Macaca fascicularis: one gene and its partner. The protein of the gene in region 2 interacts with the protein of the main gene of each other region in a pairwise test. Links are inferred from orthologs where the notes say so. Each region holds a gene or a part of one and is shown on either strand. Other genes may lie near its edges.

The links.
Region 1: the proteins of TRIM38 (region 2) and RFC5 interact in binary tests that used the Homo sapiens proteins (3 or more experiments, as listed by UniProt). The link is inferred for Macaca fascicularis from reciprocal best matches to the Homo sapiens genes TRIM38 and RFC5.

The regions. Positions count from the first base shown.
Region 1 is NC_088385.1:124,992,872-124,997,194, reverse strand, and holds the start of RFC5 (replication factor C subunit 5), read right to left. Parts: upstream 2,875-4,323; 5' UTR 2,753-2,874; coding exon 2,688-2,752; intron 209-2,687; coding exon 144-208; intron 1-143. UniProt on the Homo sapiens protein: Subunit of the replication factor C (RFC) complex which acts during elongation of primed DNA templates by DNA polymerases delta and epsilon, and is necessary for ATP-dependent loading of proliferating cell nuclear antigen (PCNA) onto primed DNA.
Region 2 is NC_088378.1:146,953,845-146,957,660, reverse strand, and holds part of TRIM38 (E3 ubiquitin-protein ligase TRIM38), read left to right. Parts: intron 1-334; coding exon 335-357; intron 358-453; coding exon 454-566; intron 567-2,078; exon of another isoform or gene 2,079-2,616; intron 2,617-3,816. UniProt on the Homo sapiens protein: E3 ubiquitin-protein and E3 SUMO-protein ligase that acts as a regulator of innate immunity. Acts as a negative regulator of type I interferon IFN-beta production by catalyzing 'Lys-48'-linked polyubiquitination of AZI2/NAP1, leading to its degradation.

The DNA of each region.
Region 1 (4,323 bases), on a different chromosome or scaffold from region 2:
AAGAAGATGAATGAATGATCTTAAAGCCACATTCTACAAAGCTCAATCAGATTCTTTGAAGTTATTACTTAGGAGAGACCTCACCAAGAAATTCACACAGGTCCCTCAACCAGGACAAGAGCAACTGACACATGGATACTTACTGGTACTCAGAATGTCCTGATGAGAAATGAGATCATTCAGGGTCTGTGGCCGGTATTTTTCAACCCTGAAATACAATTTAGTATGTATTATGACATATATACATGCAAGAATATTTTATGTGTAAAAGAATCCTTGCAGGTCAGGCACAGCGGCTTACACCTGTAATCCCACCACTTTGGGAGGCCGAGGCGGGTGGATCATTTGGGGTCAGGAGTTCAAGACCAACCAGACCGACCAACATGAAAAAACCCTGTCTCTATGGCCACCTCCTAGGGTCTTTGTAAAGATCGAACATCTAACAGGGCGTCTGCTAACCCAATAATATGCCATTCAATAAAAAATACCCAAAAATACAAAAATTAGCTGGGTATGGTGGCATACCAATGCAGCCCCACCTACTCAGGAGGCTGACATGGGAGAACTGCTTGAACCTGGGAGGCGGAGGTTGCAGTGAACCGAGACTGCACCACTGCACTCCAGCATTCCAGCCTGGGCGACAGAGTGAGACCCTGTATCAAAAAAAAAAAAAAAAAAAAAAAGAATCCTTTCATATCCTAATTTAAAAAGCAAGAAAAACAAAGCACTTTAAGTTTGAACACAGACCAGTGGTTCTCAACCAGGGGTGATTTTGTCCTCCCAGGAACATCTCGTGATATCTGGAAACATATTTAGTTGTCACAGGTGAGCAGAGGGTCCTATGGCACTTAGTGTGTAATCTCTAGGAATGCTGTTAAACATGCTACAGTGCACAGGACAGCTCCCCCAAACCCACCCAGAGTATCTTGCCCAAAATGTCAATAGTGCCGAGGATGAACTCTGTTCTAATTTCATCTTTCCAGCTGTTTGTCTATAATCTCAACCTGATGGGCACCTACTATTTCAAAGTGCATTTGAAACTGAACTCCTACCCAAATAGCCTTCAACAGAAGAATGGATAGGTAAAACCTCTTCTGTCCACACAATAGAATATGATTCAGCCATAACAAGAAATGAACTACTGATGCAAGCAGCAACATGCATGAACCTTGAAAACATGATGCTGAGTGAAAGAAACCAGACACAAAAGGCCACATAGTGTAGGATTCCACTTACATGAAATGTCCAGAATAGGCAAATCCATAGAGACAGAAAGTAGATTAGTGGTTGCCAGGGGCTAGAGGAAGGGGAGAATGGGGAGTAACTGTCAATGGGCACAGGATTTCTATTTGGGGTGATGAAATTTTGGAACTAGATAGTGGGAAGACTCCACAACAGTCCACTGCATTCGGAATGTACTTAATGCCGCTGAATTGTACATTTTAAAATGGTTACAGGATGGGCTTGGTAGCTCGCCTCCAAAAGTCCCAGTTTTTTGGAGGCTGAGGCAGGAGAATGGCTTGAACTCCAATGTTTGAGGTGACACTGAGCTGTAATCACGCCACTGCACTCCAGCCTGGGCGACAGAGCAAGACCCTGTCTCTAAAAAAAAAATATGTAAATACATGAAATAGTTACAACTGTCAATCTTCTGGGTTTTTTTAACCACAATAAAAACAAATTGGCCGGCCACGGTGGCTCAAGCCTGTAATCCCAGCACTTTGGGAGGCCGAGGCGGGTGGATCACGAGGTCTGGAGTTCAAGACCAGCCTGGACAATACGGTGAAACCTCGTCTCTACTAAAAATACAAAAATTAGCCGGGCGTGGTGGCAGGCTTCTGTAATCCCAGCTACTCAGGAGGCTGAGGTAGGGAACTGCTTGAATCCAGGAGGCGGAGGTTGCAGGGAGCTGAGATCGCGCCACTGCACTCCAGCAACAGAGGGAGACTCCGTCTCAAAAAAACAATTTTTTTTAAACTAGTTACTAGACAATGACAACTTGGAGCTTTTCGAAGCCAAGCCAAATTGCTTCAAAGTCTTGAAAGCATTGCTAGAACACAGTTGTTGAAGTAGGATGGTTAAGAGTACAAGCTCTGAATTCAGACTTCCTAATTCACCTCCAAGCCAATTTTTTAGCCTTGGACCATAGGGAAGTCATTTAACCCTTCTAAAATGCAGTTTCCTCCTGTGTAAAATTTGAAGCGGTGCCTACCTCTTACGGTCTTTGTAAGGATCGAACATCTAACAGGGCGTCTGCTAATCTAATAATATGCCATCCAATAAAAGTTGACCAGGGAGCCTTATTACTAATTTAAAATGTGACCAGTAGTCGCATCGCAGGTTTTGAAGAGTGGGAAGAGGGCACTTTGGCATGGAGGCCATTGCAGGTGTCAGGAGACACGGAATCGAACCCCTGTGCTGTCACGAGGTGCGAAAGCCGACTTCTTCTTCGGCAAATGGAGCTGGGCGTCAAAGGGTGACAGCTGGCAAAAGTCCTAAACAGACGGACGAGTCTGGGGAGCTGGGGGGTGTCGGAGAAAACCTTTGCGGCTCGGTCCCGGCTGCAGGCCCGGGGGAGACGGGAAGAGGTCGGGTTGGGGTCCGATCACCTGCCCACTCCAGCCACCTCCTCCCCGCGCGGCTGCCCGGCCCCCTCTGCCCACAGCCGCCGCTCGGCCTCTTCCTACCAGGGCAGGTTCCTGATCTTGGCCGCCGCGGGCAGCTCCTGCTGCTTGAGCGCTGAGGTCTCCATGGCGGGGAGACGAAGGTGACCAGATCAGCTGAGATCGTCGCGTCACCCAAGCCCCTGTCCAGTGACCAGCCGCGACCCGGCCCTGAGTTCGACCCTGGCACTTAGAGTTCGCGCGCAAAAGCAACTCTCGCGAGCCGTAGCCACCAGTTTCCGACTTCCTCCCTCGGTCCCGCCCCCTCGCGTTGCTAGGGCGCCGGTTGCTAGGTTACCGGGAGGCGCGGGCCGCCGGCCTTCCTCCAAGCTCCGCCCCTCCAGCCTGCTCTGAGCTCTTAGATACCCAGGCGCTTTCAGAGCAGGGAAGCGGGAAAGGCAGGGCCCCCTGCAGCCCCAGTCATCATTACATATTAAGATCGCACGGCCAAAGCCAATTCCTCCATCGCCAAGCTTCAAACCCTTACGTTCAAAGGAACAAAAGCTGCCGGGGCTAAAAAAAAAAAAAAAAAAATATCTAAGAAAAAAACAGCCCGGAGTAACACGGTTGGGTCTTGAATATAGACGCCCTTGTGAAAAAAGGCTCGCGATACCTCTCGGCCCCAAAGCTGGGAGGTGAATGTTTGGAAACGAAAACAACCCCAAACAAACACAACTGCAACCTACCTGTCTCCAGAATCCGTGTCCCTCACCCAACAAAATTTGGAGAACCAACCTCCAGAAAACATCTCCAGAGAAAAACAAACAGAAACTTCCAGTTGGGTTAATCTGTGTCGCTGGAAGGATCTAGTTCATGAACACAGAGGACAGGGTCTCTGTGATCTGAGATACTGAGGAGAATCGATATCAACATTTTAGTTTTTTTCCTGAAGCGAGGAGAATTCTAGATCGCTTTTATTTTCTTCTTTTTTATCGGTCTGTATTTTCTTTTCTTTTTTTGGAGTCTCGCTTTGTCACGAAAGCTGGAGTACAGTGGCACGATCTTGACTCACTGCAACCTCTGCCTCCCAGGTTCAAGCGATTCTCTGCCTCAGCCTCCGGAGTAGCTGGGAGTACAGGTGCGTGCCACCACGCCTGGCTAATTTTTGTATTTTTAGTAGAGACGGGATTTCACCATGTTGGACAGGCTGGTTTCGAACTCCTGACCTCAAGTGATCCACCCGTCTCAGCCTCCCAAAGTGCTGGGATTACAGGCGTGAGCCACCATGCCTGGCCTGGTCTGTATTTTCCAGCAATGAGCATGCAAAGCATCCATACTGAAGTCTTTTTTTTTTTTTTTTTTTTTTTTGAGACGGAATCTCGCTCTGTTGCCCAGGCTGGAGTACAGCGGCGATCTCGGCTCACTGCAACCTCTGCCTCCCGGGTTCACACCATTCTCCTGCCTCAGCCTCCCAAGGAGCTGGGACTACAGGTGCCCACCACCATGCACAGCTCATTTTTTGTATTTTTAGTAGAGACGGGTTTTCACCATGTTAGCCAGTATGGTCTTAATCTCCTGACCTCGTGATCCACCCGCCTCGGCCTCCCAAAGTGCTGGGATTACAGGTGTGAGCCACCGCACCCGGCTTTTTTTTTTCTTTTAACATGATGAGGAAGACAAAAATCCTGGGAGGATTTTTGAGGCTGGCCTGGGGTCAGCA
Region 2 (3,816 bases):
ACTGTGAAGGAAATCCGATCACCAAAAGCTAGTCTTGACAGAGGGAGCATGGACAAAGCTCCTGGCCCTCATGCTTCAGCAAGGATGAGAATAGATGCAAATGTTGATAAACATCCTGCCATGCTGAATCTCCCAGAAGCTGGTAGGAATTATTCCATCTGGGTATCCATCAACATCTAAGACTTGTGGGAATTACTCTATTTGGGTATCCATCAATATCTAAGACCAGGGTAACTCTCTTCTTTGGGAAAAGCAAAGAAGAATAGCTCTGCATGACAAGCCCCATGAAATACTGATGTTCCCATGCTCACCTTTTCTTTTTGTTTCTTTATAGAATGTGAATGACACTTTGAGCAGGTAAGTCCTGTATGAATGCAGGAGGGGAGGGGCATGTGTATATAGAACTGGATGGAATGCACCTCTGAAGAAATCTCTGGCCTCTGGTTGTTCTAGGAGTTGGGCTGTGAAACTGGAAACATCAGAGGCCGTCTCCTTGGAACTTCATACTATGTGCAATGTTTCTGAGCTTTACTTTGATGTGAAGAAAATGTTAAGCAGTCATCGAGGTATGTGCACTAAAGAATTTCTAAATACTGTGGATGGAAGGGGCCTTATGCAGTAACCAAGTTTACCACCTGTCCCTCAGCAGGCTCACAGCCAGAGAGGTTGTTTAGTTAATTTCAGTAGTGCCTTCATACCTTCTCTAGTTAGTATGATTCACTGCTTAGATGTGAGTGAGCATTGCATTCTGGTTATCTGCACAAACCTTTCAAATTCTTATTCTTTCACTTATTACCCATGTTACTCCAAGTGACTTGGTTTTCCCCTCTGAAAAATGAAAATATTAACAGCCCCCACTTCATTGAGTTGTCATCAAAATTAAATGCATCAACATGTACAAAGTGCTTAGCACCGTAACTGATAGATGATCATAATACCACATCCTGGTATTAGATCTGATCATAGTGTTTATTATTAATAGATCAGCCAACTCTTAGAGCAATGCAAGAAAGGTAGGTGAGTATGACAGCCTATCATTCACATATTTTAGGAACTTGACTTAGATAACACAGATGATAAATGTTACAACCAATTTACAGATTCCGAAATGTTAGAACCATTTACTGAATTTCCTGCTCCCTTGATTTTTTTAAATCAGTACTGACCATACTTTCACAAATTTGTATTCATAAGTACAAAATCAAAAAATCCCTGAAAATGGAAAGTTTTATCATGATTCATTGGGCTGCAAAAATGTGGCCTAACCTGAAATGATTTGGTGGTTACATTAGTTATCTGTTAGTACAAACAAATTACCATAATTTAGAACCTTAATACAACACCCATATATTATCTCAATTTTTGTGGTTCAGGAATCTGGGCACAGCTTAGTTGGGCCCACTGCTTAGGGTCTGACAAGGCTGCAATTAAGATACTGGTCAGGCTGTGTTCTTACCTGGAGGCTAGGCTGAGGAAGAATCCACTTCCAAGCTCACTGAGGTAGCAGGCAGAATTTCTTTCCTGATGGTTGCAGGACTTTGGGCCCTGGTTATTTCTGGCTATTGGCTGGAGGTTGCCCTCAGCTTCTACAGGCCACCCCTCAGCTCTTTGCACACGGGCGTCTAACGTGGCCAGTTATTTCTTCAGAGAGAGCTCAGGAGACAGACTCTTTAGAGAAAATCTGATAGCAAGATGGAGTCTTACATAATGAAATGTAATCTTAGAAATTATATTCCATCATCTTTGCCATATCCTATTGGTCAAAAGCAATTCATAAGCCCTTCTCACACTCAAAGACAAGCAATTTTATGAGAGTGTGAACACTAAGAGGCAGAAATCATAGAAGGCCACCCTTGAGTCTGTCTTCCACAGTGGCCAACCCTGAACTGCACTGAGATGAGACTATTTAAAAGTCTTTATTTATCCCACTTAATTTGAATAAATGTTTTGCTGCAGATATATTGATGAATTTGATTACAAGGCTCTGCCTTAGGCCCTGATGGGGTTGAAATTTAGAGTATATGCATTTTTTTTTTTTTTTTGCCTTTATAACTTCTAAACTAATTTGAATTGCAAAGCCCATTTTGTTCCAGGGATTTCAGATAAGGAATTATAGACCTGTGTTCCCCTCAAATACACAACAACAAACAACAACAAAACCCAAAAGCACTCTGTATTTCATCCTATACAGATGACAGGAAGGAAGAACAAGACTTTGTGTAAGTTTTGCTGGGATTTCACTGAGTTAATTTGCCTCCTCTCATCTTTTACAGAAGGAATCATAATACGGTTCAAGTGAAACTCTTTTTTTTTTTTTTTTTGAGACAGAGTCTCACTCTGTCGCCCAGACTGGAGTGCAGAGGCGTGATCTCAGCTCACTGCAAGCTCCACCTTCTGGGTCAAGTGAAATTATTTCGTAAATGGGCTTATCTTTTAACGAAATATTTCTCCCCTCTTAAACACTGTTTATTAAAATTTTTCTTTTTTTAAAATTTTTTTTGAGATGGAGTCTCGCTCTGTTGCCCAGGCTGGCTTGCAGTGGCACAGTCTCAGCTCACTGCAGCCTCTGCCTCCCGGGTTCCAGTGCCTCAGCCTCCAGGGTAGCTGGGATTACAGGTACGTACCACCACCCCTGGCTGATTTTTGTATTTTTAGTAGAGATGAGGTTTCACAATGTTGGCTAGGCTGGTCTTGAACTCCTGACCTCACGTGATCTGCCCACCTCAGCCTCCCAAAGTGCTAGGATTACAAGTGTGAGCCACTGCACCTGGCCTAAAATTTCTCTTATTACAAAAGTGATATGAATAAATTTTATTTTTATTTTTAAATGTATGTTTATTTATTTTATTTTACATTGCCTTCAAGCAGATGCAACAAATAAATTTTAATCAGTCAAACAATATAAAGAATATAAACAGAAAGTTCAAGGTTTCTCCCACCCCTCTCCAATCTGACTTCTCTAGGTAGGGTAACCTATATCTTTCCCTAAGTTTGTACAAACATGTAATATATATAATCTGTCTCTTCTATGTTACTCATTACTTTTTTATGTCTAATATTCCATAAGTATATAATAAATATATGTAACCATATCCCTACTGATGGAGCTTCAGGCTGTTTCTAGAACTTAGTTATTACAACATTGCTACAAAAACTTTCTAGTCCATGCACCCTTTTATCCTGGTACTTTCATTTCTTTTGGGAGCATACCCCAAACCGGGATTGCTGAGGTTGTTGTTAATCTTAATATATGGTACCATATTACTTGACTCAAAGTTGTAACATAACTCCTACCAGCACCAGGAATAATGACCCACATATACTGAACACTTTTTTAGTCTGTGACAGATTAGAAAAGCTTTACTTTTCTTGGTTTTTGTTTTATTATATCACAGTCCTCTCTATATGGGGCATTTTTGCTTTATAGATAAGGAAATATGACAGAGAGAGGTTAAGTGAGTGTTGTAGGATCTCATAACTAGAAGGTAGGCGTAGAAAGAGTCTAGAATCTAGAAAGCACTCTCTTACCATTCTGCAATGTGGCAGAAAATACAAAGTGTTATTTACTTATCTCTTTTAGACAGGTTCTTACTCTGTCACCCAGGCTGGAGTGCAATGGCCCCATCATGGCTCCCTGCAGCCTTAAATTCCTGGGCTTAAGCAATCTTCCCACGTCAGCTTCCCCAGTAGCTGGGACCACAGGCAGGGACCACAGGCAAGCACCACCACATCTGGCTAACTTTAATTTTTTTTTTTTTCTTTTTGTAGAAACAATATCTCTTTATTTTGTCCAGGCTGGTCTTGAACTCCCAGGCT